Caenorhabditis elegans: one gene and its partners. The protein of the gene in region 4 interacts with the protein of the main gene of each other region in a pairwise test. Each region holds a gene or a part of one and is shown on either strand. Other genes may lie near its edges.

Region 1 (4,491 bases), on a different chromosome or scaffold from region 4:
TAGGGGTAGCAACATAAAACTTTTCCTTTGTTGAAAATGTTTCAGGATTTTTAGAACCTATTTTCGCGAGTGTCAATAAAAACCAGATAATACCATTCGGCAATCCAAAATTCCGAGTAGAACATTGCAAAATCTATAATTTGGTAAAGGGACGAGCTTTTGTTATGTGACAGAAAAACATTTCAGGTATTCATTTTTTAAAATTCATTGCAATTTAACTTTTCCGAAATTTTACCTCACAACTGCCAAGTTTTTGAGCTCGATCTTTTCCGGTTTGCTGAAAGAGTGAGAAGCCTATTTCTTTTTTGACAGCTCCAAAAGTGGCAAATACCAAATTGCAGAAAATGTTTTTGTGCCCATTCCCAATTTCCACTAGTTGAGGTCACAAAAAAAGTTGATAAAAAGCCTCGTCTGAAAAAGTGTCCACAAAAAAAGTATACAATTCAATTTTTATTAAAAATTACTTTAAAACTGAAATTTACAGGCAGGTTTTGATCACATTTATGCCTCGTGATGTATTTTCCACAACTAGCTGGAGGCCTACATTCCGCAGCTCAACGTTGCCATTGTTTCTATAAAATTTCGCATCTGGTAACTACTCTAAAGTTTTGGTCTTCCTAGAGTTTATTCGCCGTAAAGAATTTTTTTAAAAATTATAAAAAATTAAATTTCAAATATTAGTTTTTTGATTCATTAGTGTGAATTAAGTTTTGTTAACGCGAAAAAAAGTTTCAAAACCTTAAGCTCAAAACTAAGCGTATCGAAGAGCTTCTTTAACTTTTGTGTTTTCATAATTTCTATTACCAATATTTTTCCACATTGTCACCGTTCTTTAAACGAATCATAATAGTTTTGTTTTACGAGTCACCTTCCTTTTAAATGACCGTCCATCATTACATTCACTCATTTTCACTTTCTATCTCTTCACCTTTCTTTTCCTATTCATCCAATTCTCTTTACAAGTTCAATTAATTTCAATAGTTTTATTGGTTTCTTGTTGAAGAGCCCCGTGAAATGTTTCGACAGGTATTATAAATACAAGTAGAGAGAAAGAGAAATAATTTAAGCAAGAAAATAGCAATTGAGGAATTAATATCCTGGAGCAGTTCTTGGGATTGGGCAGTGATCGCATCCTCCTGGAATTAGGGAATGATAAGAGAAATGTACAAAAATTGAATAAATACTTACCCTTGGCTCCGTCCTTTCCTGGCTCTCCAGCCTCTCCTGGTGCTCCTGGGTTTCCTGGAGCTCCATCTTGTCCTGGCTCTCCTTGTGGTCCTGGTGGTCCTTGTGGTCCTGAGTTTCCTGGGCGTCCATCCTCTCCTGGTGGTCCTTGGGCTCCTGGCTCTCCTGGCTGTCCTGGGTTACCTGGTGGGGCTGGGACGGTGCGGACTTGTCCGGGGGCTCCTGGTTGTCCTGGAGTTCCGTCATTTCCTGCGGTTCCTGGTGGTCCTTGTGGTCCTGGGGCTCCTGGGGCTCCTGGGCGTCCATTTGGTCCTTGCTCTCCTGGTGCTCCTGGCTGTCCTGGTGGTCCCTTTGGTCCTGGGTTTCCGGCGTTTCCGGCTGGTCCTGGTGGGCACTCGAAGCAGAAATCGGCTGGAGTTGGTTGAACGTGCTCATTTGGAGCATCTGGTCCTGGGGCTCCTGGGGCTCCTGGTCTTCCGTCATTTCCTGGGGCTCCGTCTTGTCCTGGGTTTCCAACGGATCCAGCTGGTCCAATTCCGCAAGAGCAGCATTGGTAGGTTTGACGCTTCTCACGGCTCTCAGCTTTACGGAATTGATCGAGCTTGGTGTATTCTCCACGAAGAGAGTCGGAACGAGTACGGCAGAAATTGATCTCATCTTGAAGTCCGGATTGAACGTTTTGCATGTACATGCAAAGCATTGGGACTGCAACGATAGCTGTCAAAGTGGCAACAGTGGAGACTGCAATTCCGAAGAACGCGAATTTCTTCACGGTCTCGACCTCCACAAGCTTTTGCTTATCGTCTTGGCTCATACTGTAACAATGGAAAATGATGGATTGAAGTTTAGAAATCAGAAAGTCAGAAATTATGAGAGTTGTTTAGAGTTATAACTACAAAAAATAATGTTTAGATTATTTTTAAAAATTTAATTAAAAATAATTAAAGAATAATATTTAGAAGTAATAATGAGAATAAAATGAGAAGATGAAGCTAGAATGAAGCAAAGATGTGTTTCTCCTCTCGCCATCACCGGTCTTATAAGCGATTCGGGTCTGCAGCGGTCGCCTACCCTTTTTGCTCCTTTTTTTGTTGTTCTGTTGAATATCGCCTAAGCTTTTGCCCAAAATATTGTTCATTTTGAGGAGAGCGTCAGAGATACATCGCCTCTCTTCGACTTATCAGATACATGTCTCGGAGTGAAGCACCACCTACCCGACGCCCTTTCCCATGCCATGAGAGAAGAAGCTTGATCCGCTTGTAAGAAGAGGGAAAGAGAGAGAGGTAGTTGTAGGTGATATGCTGGTGATCTGATCATTACTTTTATGATTATGATACTATGAACATTATTTCAAAGTTATTTCAAAGTTGCAATGATTTAGTTCCTCATTTTTAAAATCAACTCGGAACAGTGAATTGAGGTGCTCAGTTTGTTTTGTAGATAAACGTAGAGGGGCAGTATTTCCTAAAAAGGAGTTTGATGTATAGTTTGCTTACAAGTATACTCACAAAGGCCTGACGTTAATACTAGGGTGTCACAAAATTGGCATTCAGCTCTGCTGTCTGTAATGTAAATTCTTGTTGTTTTTGTTTTTGTTTTTTTTTTTTGGTAATCAATGTTCTAGATTTTTTAGGGAATTCGTGTTTTTTTAAAACAAATCTGGAACTTTAATCGAATATTTTTAAATTGACAGAAATATTTGTTTTTAATTTAAATAAACTTTCAGATTATTTGTCTATTTCTAAGCACTCTCGAAATATTCAGAAGTCTATTAAAAATGTGTCAGGGCAATTCCATGAGCTTCGAAATCTGATTTTTGAAGAAATAACTCTGAAAGAATTTCAGATCTAAGTTCCAGAATGTAGGACCTCATCACTTGGAATTTTTTTCCAAAAATTTCGGTAAATTCTAAGATTTTTCGTTTACTGATAATATATTAAAAATTGTACTTTTCTTAAGAAAAATTTCAGCTTTTGAGCTTTTGGTATACTTATTCAACATTATTCTCCTTCCGCGTTCCAGTACTCTGACCAACTGATGGCGGCTGCGTCAGAACATCATTTTTCTTCTGTTCATACCTTGTCATAAACTTCTTCTGTCCCTTTAGCTTCATTCTTTTGATATCCCCTTTTTTTAGAACCTTTCTTCTCTTTATGTACACATACTTCACATTCTCATTATCAAATGATAACAGTCAGGTATAGATGATGAACGAATGAAAGTAGTGATACGCGTATTGATAATGTGAATTGGATATATATTCGGTTCACTGTGTTATTCACTTTTTGCCCATCTCCAAGGGCAGACTTTCGGCTGGCAATTGGGTGTGGCATGTGAACAACGTTTATGAAGACGTTCCAAAGATGCATGTGATTGTTCGAATCAGGTGGTTTGTTTGTGATTGTCACTGTCATTTGCTGGTAAGATTGATGGAGAAGCTGAAATAATGTGAGGTCCAACATTATTACAGTAATCATCAGGTTCAATAGATTAAATGCATTTTGATAGGTTTCGGGTCAAGCAATCTGATCAATGATCCATCATGTAGTTGCCAGTTACAGTAATCCTGAAAGTGCAAAATTATCCGGGGTGTATGTTCAATGTCGGCTTCACAACCACCTATCGTATTTCATCGTTTTGTATTGTACCCCATTGTTCAATTTTGTCAGCTTATATCTCACTTTTTCTATACAAAAATGTCCACTAACAAAATATTTGTTATTCCTTTTTCTATTTATTTGGATTGTGATCAATAAAATGTATTTGCAATATTTTCATGAAACCTGTTGAAAGAAGAAAAAACGTTCGAAGAAAATTAGAAGGAAGTTAAATCAAGTTAAAATTGTTAGAATGTGTCGATATACTTTCTAATTTTTCTGATCTAAAAACCCAATTCTTTGAAACTGCAAACAACCGGGGATGAAAAAAAAATCATCTACTAAAAAATTTATTTCATTGAAAATGATACTAGTTCTTATTCGGCGGCTTTCTCCACAACTCAATCAACTTTTTCAATCCATCGTACATCTGACGAACGGCTTGATACTCAGTAAGTCCAAGGCGTTGCTTGTTCGAGATGTCATAGATTCCTTCCTTCAAATCCGAATATTCTCCGTGAATTCCACGAATCTGAAAAACTCACTGTAATTTGCTGAAAAGAAACTTGAAAAATACCTGAAGCTTCATCTCACTGCAAATCTTCTTGAAGTCGTCCTTTGCCGAAATCTTTGGTAACTTAATGTGAACCGATGATTTCAAAGACGTTCTTGAACAAAAAAAATCTACATGATCAAATGTTTTATTTTG
Region 2 (4,739 bases), on a different chromosome or scaffold from region 4:
TATCATGCCTGACATTAATTACTTGGAGTTAAAAAAAAACCTTTCCAGAACGATCAGCACGTTTCCAATGCTTACAAAATGTTCACTCTATCGACGAATAAGTGCCACTGGTTCAGACTTTGGATCACCCAGTTACCAATTGACCAATACAAAACAGGAATGAAACTTTCCGAGACTGTCGATTTCTTTCTCAACGAAGGATTTTACGTCTCTCCTCAGTCTGGTATTTTGAATTATTATTAACTTCTCAATTGATGGAAATTTTCAGATGTTGCTTATCCATTGCCGGGTGTGAGTGAGCTCACAAAGTTCAAATTCACTGTCTCACGAGAACCAAGTAACGAAAACTACGTTAGTTTTTTTAAAATCAAATATAAATCTTCAATTTCATAGTTTTTAGGTTGACATGGTGTTCGGAGAAATGCAAGGAAATCCAATCTATCAGGATCAATTCAAGCTTCCAGTTACAGAGAGCACATCATTCAATATTCATGTTATCAAGGCACCTGGTTGTGATATTGAAATGGATACGGTAACAAACGTTTTGTTTTATTCAAGCTTAACTTAAAAATCTTCAGCGTACTTTGTTGTGGAATGACTACAATGCTGCAGTTCCAACTAATATGTGGGAAATCGGAAAATGTACATTCAACTTCTTCGATGAATAAGTGTCCTATTGTATTATGATTTGGAATAAAATAATTTAACAACCATTTTTCAAAGTTTCGTTTTTTTGAGGACTGATGGGCAATTGGCAAATCAAAAAGTTCAAAATTGAATTATAAGATGTGAGATAAATATAATTAAAGTAATACCCCATGACTTATTCCTCATAATCATAAATATAAGTTGGTAATAAAATATCTGTTAGAAATTTGACTTTATTTGGACATGCAATAATATAATACATCAATATTCTTTAAATAAATATTCATAGAGAAAAGACAATCTACCGGTAAATATATATATACTTATTCGCTCTCATTATCATTTCCATTGTCGTCATCCACACTATTATCATCTTTTCTGACAACTTTCTTGTGCTTCATTCGTCGGTTTTGAAACCATGTTTTAACTTGAGTTTCACTCAAATTGAGAGCATTTGCCAATTCAATTCTCTCAGGAGTACTCAGATATCTGAAAGTCTGATTTAGAATACTAAACTCGGAATGCATTTTTGGTCACCTTTGGGATTCAAATCTTCGTTCCAATCCTTGTAGTTGCTGATCACTGAACACTGTTCTTGCTTTTCTTCGCGAACTGAAAACAGAAGAATAATTATATTTGATAAATTTCAATCATTACCATTCCAACCTCAATCTTCTATACGCTTTAGTTGCATTTGACAATCGAATCTGATCAGCTGTTGACCAGAATCCAGGAAAAACTCCATTTCGTTGAGCCAACAAGAGACTATGTTCTATTGGAAACGCTGCTGCTGCAAGCCAAAGCTGATCAGAAAGAGCAGGAGTGATTGTGGGAGTTAATTCATTTGTCAATGGAACTGACATTACGGATATCGATGATTTTTCTGATCCCTGGAAGTAAACCGATAGAGTAATTTTTGATGATCAAATTTACATATTTTATTGAAATATTACTTGTTGAATTTAAGTAATTGTGAAAGAACAAGCATCACATCAAGGAAACAAAATATTTTTTAATGAAGTTGCGACTTATTTTGAATCAATTTTAAAGAAATCATTGACCAAAGGCCAAAAAAAACGGAAAAATTATATTTAAATTCAATTTTGATAATTGAGCGAAATACATTCCTGATATGTTTGTTTAAATATTTGCAGAGTGCCTATGGTGACTACAAAACCCAAACGAGAAAAATAGTTTAAGAACATACCTCATCTGAACTTGATTGGGGAGTGGGCGATGTTTGATCAAGCTTCAGAATTCTTTGAATTTCGTTTGAATGCCCACGAAGAAGATCATCAATTGAAAAACTTGATACAGGAGTTATCATTTTCAAATAAGTTTGAAGATTATTTTACGGGAGGTAAGATTCTCGTGTAAATGAGCTAACACGGTAATATGGTGCTCCCATAGGAGCACAATGGGTGGAGCTTCAGACGGCATCGGAAGGGGGCGGAGTCGGCGAATAGAGATGAAGGTCCCGTGAAAGACGACAAGGAGAAGAAGAAAAAAGAGTTGATGAGAGGGATAATGATTGTGAATGACAGTATTGCCGTAGGCAATATTGTAGGCGGTTGATGAAAGAATAAACAACCACTTAAGTGACGATGAGCAAAATATGGAAATTGATTGTCTCGTAATGTTCAGTACTAGAATAAAATATTGAAACTAATCAGTTGTGTCATTTTCGATCAGTCGTGTATTATGATGACGTGTTCATTTTTTGTATATGGTCTGGAGTCTTCTTTTCTTGCCAGTTTTGATGATCTGGAATAGTATATCTAGCATATAGGTGAAATTAAAATTCCAATAAAAACAAAACGTAATTTACATAATGTTTTCAAACCTCAAATATCTCATCAAGAAATTGGAAAAGCTTAGCAATCAACTCAATTTCTGAAAATTTTCAAATGGTCTACAAAAGATTCTTGGCCAAATACTCTAGAAGTATTAACTTGATTGACAAAATAATTTTGATTTTGCAAACTCTTCAAATTCACTAACGATGTAAGTCTTGTACTTATTCTTAAAATTTTGTACTTATTCAGGCATGCCTACTACGCACCTTTCAGTACTTTTGTGGTAGACAAAGGCCACAGGCAGTGTTTGTGCCTACATGAAAAGCCTACTTACAGCCGTTTTCCACTTTTGGCACAATTCGACCTCTCATGCTCATCATCTCCCTCTAATTACGTGTTTATGTTACAATACAATGCGATTGAGCCAGTACAATAACAATAACAAGTGTGAACGTGTTGAGAGCGACACGCGTCTAGTAATAGTCATTGTGCAACTGAGCAATTTGAACCTTTCCACAGATGTTCACCACTTCCCCAACAACTTGTGCATTTTTTGTGCATATCACTGTACCCCTTCAAACGTTTTAAAGCTTGGAGAGAAAATAGGGAAAGACGACTGGCTGACCTGACTAAACGAAGAAATTGAGCATCGAGTAACGAAGACTATTATTGCATTATAGACGGCAGAAGCGCTAGAAGGCTTTTAACTTATTATGTTGAGTAGACATACTCACACAAACTTATTAGCAACAAGAGGAGTAAGACCTGCTGTGCAAAATATTGTTGCCACGTCATCAAATACAAGACAAAGAATATTAAGAAAAGTTCCTTCCGTTTACATGTCACACTTAATTATAACTGGCTCTATGGGTACTTTGAACATTTGACACCTCATGACTTGCTCTATTGTTTCTTGAGTCACCGCAAAAAGGTGTCCTGTGGTGAGCTCCAATGTAACATAGTTCCAGAAGAATTACTTCATCATCACTCCTCCCTCATACTCGTGGTGTTAATACAAAAACTTATGCATATGCAATACAGCAATTATTCCCAATTAGTTAGCGGATTTCACTACCGTAGAAGAAGTAGTCGTTGTATTGAAGCTTCTATTTCATCACAATTGGCATGCTGTTTTGTCGGTATATAGCTCATCATTGAAAACGCGCTCATTATTCTTACGAAAATCTGTGTGATTTTAGTGGAAAACAAGATTTGATGAGAAGATGTTTTGCAAATTAGTGAGAAGAGAATTCTGCAATTAATGAAGGATTTTAAGCAAAGGAGATTTTTCAGAAAGTAGAAGAAAATAGTTATTAAACATTTGAAAAATTCAGATTCAAATTTTCAAAAAGCAAATTCTCACACTCTTGACAGTCTTTTCAAAAAAATAAACATCTTCAAGTATTTTCCATGTACAAATTTGATAAAGAACGGACCAGCAGGAAGCCAGCCATTATCAGCCCCTAGTTATACCTGCTTGTTGGGTTCATTATTTAAAAAGAAGGGTTCATATTTAAAAACTATGCACACTCCCACTATTACTAAACTTGCCTGAACTCGATGCATGACCGCGTCACTTGTCCCAAAATATCACTAATGGATGGATTATTTAAGATAAAATTTTTAAATGTAGTCAGAAAAAATTTCCTAGTTATTTGCTAACACGATAATCGTATACATTTCAAATTATATGTACATTCTAAAATGCGGGAACCATAATGACCCTTTCGTATTCTGATCACCACCTTTAGCACTAATTCCAAATGATTCCCACTTGAACCCGTGTGCAGGTGAGAAGAGTCGGCAAACCGATAAACGCATTTTCAAAAACTGTATCCGAAGGATTAGTGTTGAGATAAAGTAAGTGCGTCTGGTGCGACATCTCTCTTGCTTTCCGTAATCTTTTGACAGACAGCTCTTCTTTTTGATTGGGATGTGTAGCAACAACTAATGAATTGAGCAAATATTGCACTAATGGCACGCATGTGCCGACACACTCACAGACACCTACAAAAACAATAGAATAACATACTGTTGGATTACGGTCTTCCTAATTGGATGAGCAAATGGGAAAACTTATTGAGAACTGTTGTTGCGATGTGAAAGGGGGTGTGCTTTCTAGATCAATAAAACATTATTAAATTTCTGGTTCACCTCAATTACTTAATGATTGCCGACATTTTTTGGAATTTATGTGTAACAAAGTTGTTACGGTAGAACACATTACAGCTGTGCAACATTTTGGCATTACCTCGATAATTTATGAAACGTTCTCAGTAATAGCTCAAAACCCAT
Region 3 (4,675 bases), 810 kb from region 4:
TGCCTGCAGAGTTGAAACACGTGGATTTGTCGAATAACAAGTTGACGTATTTACATGATCATGCATTTGAGCACTTGACAAATTTGATTTTGCTGGATTTAAAGTTGGTTTTGTATTGAAAAAGTATTTTCCGAACATTATTCTTGCAGAAACAACAGCCTAAAGGAAGTGAAGTCATCAAGTTTTGCTGGTTCCAAATTTCAAGTCAAATTGTTTTTATCCGAGAATCCACTACTATGTCACTGTAATCATAAATGGTTAATGGATTCTTCTGCTAAAGTTTGTTTTTGAAGTTTTTACACAATTTCTAATTTTTTGGTATTACGTTTGATATTTTTTAGAACATATCAATTGGAGACCTTCAGACAATTGAATGTCTCAATATATTGAAACCAGAAAAGAAAATGCTGCTCACGTTAGCTCATTCAAGGAATCAACTGCTCTGCAAATATTCTAATGTAAGTTATTTTATAAATGTTTCATTTTAATTGAAAAAACAATTGGTGGCGTACTACCAATATAATTCGATTTAAAAGAGACTAAGATGTATAGTTTAATAAAACCGTGCTGAGAAAAAGCCTGATATCAAACAACAGTAATTATATACCCAACAGACTTTAATTATGCTATCAAACATTTTCTTCAAAAAATTAATCGAGAAAATTGAACTGATAATTAAAAAAGGTTTCAAGGTAGGCTAAAAAAAATTTCAAATACATAGTAACTTTGAAACAGTAATTTTTTTCAGATGTGTGAAGCAGATTGTGAATGTTGTCAGAAAAAAGAATGTGAATGTCGTTTCGAATGCCCGCCGACGTGCAAATGCTTGAGATCTGCGGATGTCTCTATTGTGAGGGTATGATTTTTGGAAACTGGGAAATTAGATATTTCATCAATTCTAGCTTTTTGAAAAACTCATTTTGTGTATTTTCGAACTAAAAAAACAATATTGGAATGCTAAACTCTTTATGAAAAATGGGAGAGACGAAATAAAATCTAGCGTCTGGATCCGTCCTCGAAGAAGACTCCTCCATCGATAGCACAGTATTTTGGACAGATTCCCTTCTCTCCTGGAGTTCCATCGGATCCTGGAAGTCCTGGTTGTCCTGGAGCTCCATCTTGTCCTGGCTCTCCTGGTCCTCCACGTGGTCCTGGTTGTCCTGGGGATCCTGGAGCTCCATCCTTGCCCTTGATTCCAGCAACTCCACGTGGTCCACGTGGTCCAGCACGTCCTGGCTGTCCTGGTTGTCCTGGCTTTGGCTCGTCGGAGTGTCCTGGTGGTCCTGGTGGTCCTTGGGATCCTGGCTTTCCTGGGTGTCCGTTTGGTCCGTGTGGTCCTGGTTGTCCTGGTTGTCCTGGTCCTCCATTTGGTCCATCGTGCCCTGGTGGTCCTGGTGGTCCCTCGGATCCTGGCTTTCCTGGTGCTCCTGGAGCTCCTGGTGGCCCTGGTGGGCAAGCTGGGCATGGTGGTGGGGTTAATGGTTCACATGGTGACTGTGGTGGCTTTCCTGGGTGTCCTGGGGCTCCTGGTGCACCTGGGCGTCCTGGAGTTCCTGGGCGTCCGGCAGCTCCGACTGATCCAGCGGCTCCTGGCAAGCAGCATCCGTCGCAGCTATTGTGCTCCTGGGCTGGGGCGTCTTGAACGGCAACATCGTATCCAGCTTGACGCGCGGTACGGTTCCCTCTCCCGGGAAGAGCTGGCATAGCGACAGCGGTAGCATATACCGTGTTAACGGTGTCACGGCAGTGACGGAGCTCAGAGTGCATTTGAGAGCGGAGGTTGCTCACATAAGAATAAACGAGTGGAAGAGTAATGCAAACGGAAAGAATTCCGACAGCTGAGAGGGAGACTGCGGCATACCCGATGAGACGGTAGGCCTGAAAAATTGTATAATTTTCGAAAAATAAGAGTCATGAATGGTTTTTAAAATTAAATTCTAAAGCCTCTTAGAACTTTAAACTAAACCAAACAATTTGTGAATACCTTGATTTTGTTGTCCTCCATTTTTGAGATGATCAAGATTGGATGATGCCTTTCCATGTTAAACCCATTCCTTTTATACTGACAATTTTCTCTTGATCACTGTTTCCTTTTTTCATTTTTTTTTTCATTTTGTGTTACCAAATCTATGTCTCCACATTTCCCATTATCACTCATCCTATCACTATGGATCTATCTTTGTTGTCAGGTACGCCCGCGCGGTTTCGCTAACTTTACACTTTCCAATTGGTTTTTTCTTGGATGATAAGGCACAATAGAAGAGAAACGGAACTAATTTGAAACTTTTTTGGTTAACCCGGAACATTATTTCAGACATCTCAAAACATTATGGTTTGCGACAAACTTCGATGGGATAAGCTCGGAAAATTTCCATCCCCATTGACACAATTACATATGAATCAGACTGATTGGAAGATTTTTGAGGTTTTTTTTTCTTTGGAAGAATTCATTAGACATCAAGACTTTTAGACCGAGAAATTGAAAGAACTGAGCAACTTGCGAGCTTTGAAGATCACAAATAGCAAAATGACTTCAGTGGAAATGGTGAGTTATTTTTTGAATCCGGAGGTTAATTTTGAAAATTGAGGGAAACTTAACTAACTGGTTTTGTGTTCCTAAGGTTTTTCAAATATAGAACTATGTATTTTTCAATTATTTTATGCAATTGGATGTATTTATGTAAACAATTTTTTACTGTTTCGACATGCCTACTTATGCAGTATGATATTTGAAATTTTAATCCTGCTGTCATTGTGTTGTCCGAAAATTTCACCTAATTTAGAGCATCATCTAATTTAGTTAAATTCTAATCAATTTCCATATTTCGCAAATAATGTCCACAAAAAAATTATTTCAGGAAAAGCTCACTGATCTTGCCAATTTGACCCATCTCGAAATAACATCTTCTGCCATCACCTCAATTCCAGAAACCATTACAAAATTACCATCTTTAACTCATCTCTACTTATCTGATAACCCATTGGATCAACTTTCATCAACATCCTTAAATCATTTGGATGGTTTAAAAAAGGTTAGTCACTTCAAAAGGAAAGGACATTTGACCAGAAACCAGTTTATCTATGTTCCATCATGATAAGACAAAACAGTCATTTTTTGGTGGAATCATTGGGTTACAAAACGAAACTTTCCATTTCAGTTTGGTTGATAATAATAAAAGAGAAATTCAGATTCGATTGGGTGGGAATTTCAGCAGATTTGCCTGTGATTGTGAGTCACCATCGGATTTTCAGAGATGGTTGATGAGAAGAATTAATCGAGCAAAAGTAAGAACATAGTCACATAGTTTCAGAGCAAAAAAGTTTAAAAATTAATTTCTGTTTCATAAGTTTTACAAATATAGTAGTAAATTTTGAAATTTATTCCTGATCGCCAAATTGTTATGCACTCAAATGTGTAATGTTGAATTTTGTTTCTCCTAATGTTAAATTTAAAAATATTGAAGCTTTGTCAATAATACATTCATGGTGAGGGACATTTTTATTACTTTTTCGAAAAAGTTAAAAGTGAACGTGCCATGCTCAAGTTTTGAGCTGATCGTCATTATTTCGAATTATTGAAGGCAATTGGTTTTTGCCAGTAATAAACTAAAATTATTATACATTAGTTTTTATCTTAATTGTTTTCTTACTGAGAATGGGATTACTAAAAGCAAACTTTTCATTTGAAGATTTATGTACCATTTTAATTTACTTTCTGAAAAAAAACTGAGAAAAGTTTTTACTGTTTCAAAAATGCCACAAATCAAATTTTTTCAATTATTTTATGTTAATCAATATTTATTGTTCAAAATCTGATTTCGAGTGGTTTTAAAATAAATTTTTCAGATAGATGATATTGATGATTTATATTGTGATTTAAATGGTCATGGAACAGTTTGGATGTTGGAAGCTCTTCCAGGAACAAATGAAAGTGTATGCCTGGATCCAACTGAAGAAACTAAACAATGGATGACATTTGTGGAAAATGCACAAAAAGGAATAATGGAAAGAGTTTATACTTCAACTGAATCAACAACTAAATCTGAGAAAACAATGATGACAACTACATTGAAAAAGAGTATTTTGGATACGATGGATGAACTAGAAGGTGTCAAATCTACCGAAAAAATTAGTAATAAGTGAGTTGATTGGTTTGAAAATTCAGCGAAGCCAAAAAAAGTTTCTAAAAACTGAAAAAATTTTCAGAGTAATCTCAACGACAACCGTTCCCACAACAACTCCTCGATATCGCAAGAAATACAAGAATTATGACAATGAACCTCATAAATTTGTCAATGTTCTCATTTTCTTGCTCTTCTTATGTGTGATTATCTTGATAATTTCAATAGGAGTCACCGTATATTTGAAGTAAGTTTTCAAAATAAAATCTATTTGAATGATAGAATCAATAAAAGATTTCAGATTTTGGCATCCTGAAGAGCTTTTAATGAAGCGTCGGAAAAAAGAAAGACTTCGACCGGAAATTCAAAGAGAAGAAGAACCATTGCAGCATTTAGATTGAAGAAGAATAATAGAAGTTTTAGAATTGAAACGGGTATAGATTTTATTTTTTGGTATTTGTTTTTTCGAGCAGATAAATACATTTTATTCTTCAAAGTAAACATACAAAAAGTAGTTCTTGAAAAAAGAATGAGTTAAATGAAATAGTTGTATT
Region 4 (4,690 bases):
ACCATTGTAATGATTGATACAACTGAAGATGAGTCTCTTATTGAAGAAGGACTCTGCAGAGAAGTGACAAATCGTGTTCAACGTCTTCGCAAACAGGCTAAACTTGTATCTACTGATACTGCTCATGTTCATATTGTTGTTAGTCCAGCTGATTCTCAACTCGCAAAGGTTGTTGCTGCCAAATTGAATGACATTGTATCCGCTACTGGAACACCTATCAAGTTGGGATCACCACCAGCCGCTGCAAAGGCTCCAACTGCCACCAGCAAGAGTGCAATTAAGGATTCAGAAGTTGAGGTAAATTCCGTTTTTGTTGATGTTCTCTAATATTCCTGAACAATTATTTTCAGCTTTGGTTGTTCGCCGAAGGTGACAGTTTCGATGGGATCACTGTTGTTGATGGATCAAAGAAAGTTCGAGTTCATGTGAAAACAGAAAAAGAACACCTGAAGGGATATGCTGATCTTCTATATCACGTATGTTTATCGGGTTTTCCTAGAAATTTAAAATGTTAAATCTGTTTTTGTTTCAGGTTCGCTCTGCTCTTGATCTCTGGAACGGTAAGATTGCCTTGAAGAATGTCGATGGATCGGCGGTCCATCCAACAGTTGACGTGACGTCTCTTGTTGGTCAGACTCTTCAACTCGTACGATAAATTGCTATTACATCTTTAAATTATCCATATCCGGTTCGCATTTTAGTTCCTGGCTTTATTTGAACCCATTTGAACCGCAGTTTTTCTCATATTTGTTTCTTACACTATTTTGTTTGCTGTTAACGTATAATATTTAATTATGAATGTTTAAGGATTTTAATGTAGAAACTTTATTATCAGAGAAATTCAGCTAGCATTTTTACACGCTCTCAGTTTAGCAGGATCAATGTCACTAACGATCTGATGTTCTGTACGTCCCTCTTTCAATTTGATGTTTTTCTTCTTATCTCCTTTCTTCGGTTGTTGTGGTAGATATCCTTTCCCCAATTTTCTGAACTCCTCTACCGCCTTATCAGCAATTGCCACAACATCATCTGCCAAATCAATGTGATCTCTGAGAATATCTCGAATTGGTGCTTCAATAAGAAGCGTAAAGTGTCCAGAAGAAGCGATGCTGCTCGCAATACAATAACGGAGCATGCTCTTCGAGCAAATTGCCTGAGAATTACACTCCCGAATGACATCTCCAGATTTCAGATGGATGGATGCTAAGCTGTTTGGAGTAACATAATCAACCTGAAAATGAAATGCGGTGGTTACTGTAAGTTTAAATTACCTCCAAACGATCTCTATTGTTATATTTGACAAATAATCCCAAGTCAATGAATTGCATTTCAGGAGTTGGACGAACTTTTATGAGAACCTAAAATAAGAAAGTTTTTTTTTTAATTTTTAAAAAGCTGTCTCACAAAGTAATGGTTAACAGGATTTGGAGTGATTCTCTCTAAATCTCTGTCAATTTGGATTTTCTCAACAGTTGTTCGAATATGAAAACACCAGGAAAACATGTTACGTTTCAGTTGTAGATGAATATTCTGAAATTTTCGTTTGCAAACACTCGATTCAGAAATATTAACACCTCAGTTTTCTCTTTCAACTTTTGGTGCAACTCGTCACTAGTGTGGATAACTTTTTCATCGATTGCAGTGATACAATCACCTAGAAATGCTTTTCCAATAAGATGTGATTCAGGAAGGACATGTGTGATCTGAATATGAATTATGTATGGTGTCCCAAAATCAAGATCAAGAGCTCAAGAATTTGAATAAATACTATTTGACAATTACCCGACAATCCTGCTTGTGTACACGAACTCCTATTGGCTTTCGAATCATGAAATGGTCGATCAATTCCTTTGGCAAAAGCTTGTCAATGTTGAAATCTTTATCAAGAGCCAACTTAATTCATTTATGTTTATTTTGAATCGTTTCAGTTGTCTTACGCTGCCGCTTTCATTTTTCTTCATAATTCGATCGGTTTGTATGAAAACTCAATTGGGAAATGATTTTTTTTTGATTTTCAGGTTTTATAAAACGTTTTCTTAAATCCAAATAATTGGAAACGTGACATTAAATTTAATATTAAAATAACACAATTTTTAAAACTATTCTTCTTTATCACGAATTGTCGATTTCTGTTTTTTACAAACATTTAAACAGAATTCTGTACAGAACTTTTTTTTATTCACAAAACATAAAAACCTTTTTTTTATTTTTTGGGAGCACGCACAGCAAATGCGTCAGCACAAGTTGCTGGCGCAATTCTCGTGCTGACGCTTTTACGAACCCATTATTTTCTTTCGAATTTGCCAACCAGCTTTCCAAGACTCAATTCTTGCATGGTTTTGGGAGGAATATTGAATTTTTCAGTTTCATTTAATTTTTGAAGTTTGCAAAATCATTTTTCATATTACTTCGTTTACATTTCTATTGCTCGTAACTGGATTTCGTTAGGGAAAAGGAGGATGCGTTATGCGCGAGTATTCGGATTATCCTCCATAATTTTTTTCTAGTTTTGATAAAGTTAGTTTTAATATATTTGAGAAAATTGTTTATATCGATTGTTAAGAAATCATTATGTTTAATTCAAAAAGTAACATGCGTTTCGGATCTACGAAGTCATTTATTTTTTTGAATGCTAATTTTAGGATTTTCTAAATTTTCTAGAATGTTATTGCGAACAATAATCAATATGTTCCTTCTTTATCACTATCATCCATCGATTCATCTTCTCACATCCTCCCTAATTCCTTTCCTCCTCATGCCCGTTGCCATGCCGTTGTTCCGATAGTGAAACGAAAAGGGCAGATGGAAGAAGACGTGTATTATGTCTGTCACGCGCCTACAACTTCTCCGAACATCGCCTGTGTCTTACTTTCATGGAAGAAACACAATAAATTGTTTTCCAACATTTTGAAATTATGGGTTATCCTCTTCACCTGCCACATAGGTTTCCGGAAGAAAATTTTTGTTTTGAAAAGTTACCATTAAGATTATTGTTTCAGTTAAAACAATCATTTTTCTTTGTATTTTCCTTTTTGCTTAAAAATTCAGAATTTTCCAATATCAATTATTTTAAAAATTTCAGAAGCGACGAGACCACCGTGTTAGTTTAGCCAAAGGTGGAATGGCTCACCTTAATATGTTCAATCACCTCATTCCATTAGAAATGGATATGGATGGAGCAGACGAAGAAAAACGACAACGAGTTTTTTCATCTTTTTACCACTTTGGTGCTAGGGTGAGCTATTTTTGTTCGACTAAAAAAATTTCAATAAATTTATATTTTAGCTTTACGATTGCCTTCACACAATTGCCATCGAAATCGAAGACGATGACTGTGAGCATTTTCCGACAAAAGCCATCTCAACTGTTCTCAAAATTCTCAATTTTGAGCATTTCCTCTCATCGGACAAGTGTCGATTTCCCCCGGTCTCCAACCTTCTCGATATAATTGAGGTAAATATTTCAATTAGTTTAAAGTCTCGATTTTTATTAATTTCAGAGTCGACAAATGGATGATTGTCAAATCCTTTTTAAAATATCCGACCTTCTTGAAGATCATAAAAGTGAAAAACCTGAAAGATTTGGACCGTACAACCCTTTGGATCCCAAAAAGGTTCCAATCAAAAATGCTGTCGATGCACTTACCTCGGTTTCCTCGATGGCTTACTCGTGAGTTTTCAAATTGAAATTTTTGATTGAATAAGTAATTGGAATTTTTCGAGTATTCACCTTAAATAAATTAGCACTTATACAAAGTACATATCAAAAATTATATACCGAAAAATTGAAAATCAGGAGCGCCATTTTTTTCCATTTTCTATGAAACACGTTGGAATGACATTGCGGAATAGGTTATTTTTTGCAAAGTTTCCGAAAAAGTCGAAAGTTGCAGTCGAAAGTTATGAAAATGAAATTTTTGTTATTATTTTTGAATACAAAATCGCATTTCATGCTCAATTTTCTAGACATTTTGAAAATTATAAATTGATTGACGGAAAAAAGGAACCTGAAAAAATAAAAAAAACATTATAGAATTATTTTTCAGCTTTCTTGCCACTACATTCGCCGAAGAATTAATGAAAGCAGCGATTCGTGATATTTATGTTTTTGACGAAGATTCGCTTGAAGACAACGATGAAACCCAACTCAGCGACGAGAATGGTGGTAAGTTTTGATTAAAAAAACAGCCCGTTATTTCATACTATATTACAAAAATCGTACAAATATTACAAAATCAAGCTTTTATGCTCAAACATTTTTTGATTTCAAAATGCCTTAGGATCTCGTAACGCTTTGAACTTATCCACAAAATAAAAGTAAAACAACATTAACAACATTTTATAATAGACATTGAGTGTTAGTACAGAATAAGAAAATATGCTTAAAAACTGTTTGTTTTAGCTTTATGATGTGACTGACTGAAATGGACGATAACATGGACGGTGATAAATTTCTGGAAAAAAAAATAAAGAAAATAAACAGAAATAATATTAAATTTCAGTATTCGATTCCACACCTTCGAATAACGAGAAAAAAGATTCGATAATCAATTTTCGTCAACTTCCTTCCATTGATAGTCAAATTGTTCAGCAAAATGCAATGCTTCTTCTTGCAGCTCGAGTTGGTGTAAGTCATTTAGAAACGTTTTTCATGAAATTTCAAACTATAATTATTCCTTCAGATTGAACAA

The links.
Region 1: the proteins of mpz-5 (region 4) and col-73 interact in a two-hybrid assay, tested with the Caenorhabditis elegans proteins (one large-scale study listed by BioGRID).
Region 2: the proteins of mpz-5 (region 4) and tab-1 interact in a two-hybrid assay, tested with the Caenorhabditis elegans proteins (one large-scale study listed by BioGRID).
Region 3: the proteins of mpz-5 (region 4) and col-122 interact in a two-hybrid assay, tested with the Caenorhabditis elegans proteins (one large-scale study listed by BioGRID).

Annotation. Positions count from the first base shown.
Region 1 is NC_003280.10:4,871,128-4,875,618, forward strand, and holds col-73 (Nematode cuticle collagen N-terminal domain-containing protein), read right to left. Parts: upstream 2,003-4,491; 5' UTR 2,000-2,002; coding exon 1,189-1,999; intron 1,137-1,188; coding exon 1,090-1,136; 3' UTR 971-1,089; downstream 1-970. Other genes in the region: F11G11.15 (Ovule protein), read left to right, coding at 3,718-3,975; F11G11.13 (arginine kinase), read right to left, coding at 4,153-4,314, 4,360-4,371.
Region 2 is NC_003280.10:6,800,994-6,805,732, reverse strand, and holds tab-1 (Homeobox domain-containing protein), read right to left. Parts: upstream 2,033-4,739; 5' UTR 1,976-2,032; coding exon 1,856-1,975; intron 1,539-1,855; coding exon 1,306-1,538; intron 1,261-1,305; coding exon 1,186-1,260; intron 1,138-1,185; coding exon 972-1,137; 3' UTR 870-971; downstream 1-869. Other genes in the region: F31E8.5 (DUF4091 domain-containing protein), read left to right, coding at 49-223, 269-351, 401-532, 579-668.
Region 3 is NC_003282.8:9,560,718-9,565,392, reverse strand, and holds col-122 (Nematode cuticle collagen N-terminal domain-containing protein), read right to left. Parts: upstream 2,015-4,675; 5' UTR 2,006-2,014; coding exon 1,985-2,005; intron 1,879-1,984; coding exon 997-1,878; 3' UTR 952-996; downstream 1-951. Other genes in the region: lron-14 (eLRR (extracellular Leucine-Rich Repeat) ONly), read left to right, coding at 1-103, 150-279, 342-458, 749-856, 2,315-2,425, 2,471-2,545, 2,859-3,032, 3,190-3,285 and 3 more.
Region 4 is NC_003282.8:10,371,825-10,376,514, forward strand, and holds mpz-5 (PDZ domain-containing protein), read right to left. Parts: upstream 1,999-4,690; 5' UTR 1,962-1,998; coding exon 1,938-1,961; intron 1,894-1,937; coding exon 1,783-1,893; intron 1,704-1,782; coding exon 1,575-1,703; intron 1,531-1,574; coding exon 1,405-1,530; intron 1,359-1,404; coding exon 1,272-1,358; intron 1,232-1,271; coding exon 842-1,231; 3' UTR 814-841; downstream 1-813. Other genes in the region: iars-1 (Isoleucine--tRNA ligase, cytoplasmic), read left to right, coding at 1-297, 351-476, 533-655; Ankyrin repeat and KH domain-containing protein mask-1, read left to right, coding at 3,122-3,235, 3,286-3,453, 3,500-3,669, 4,046-4,164, 4,502-4,626, 4,682-4,690.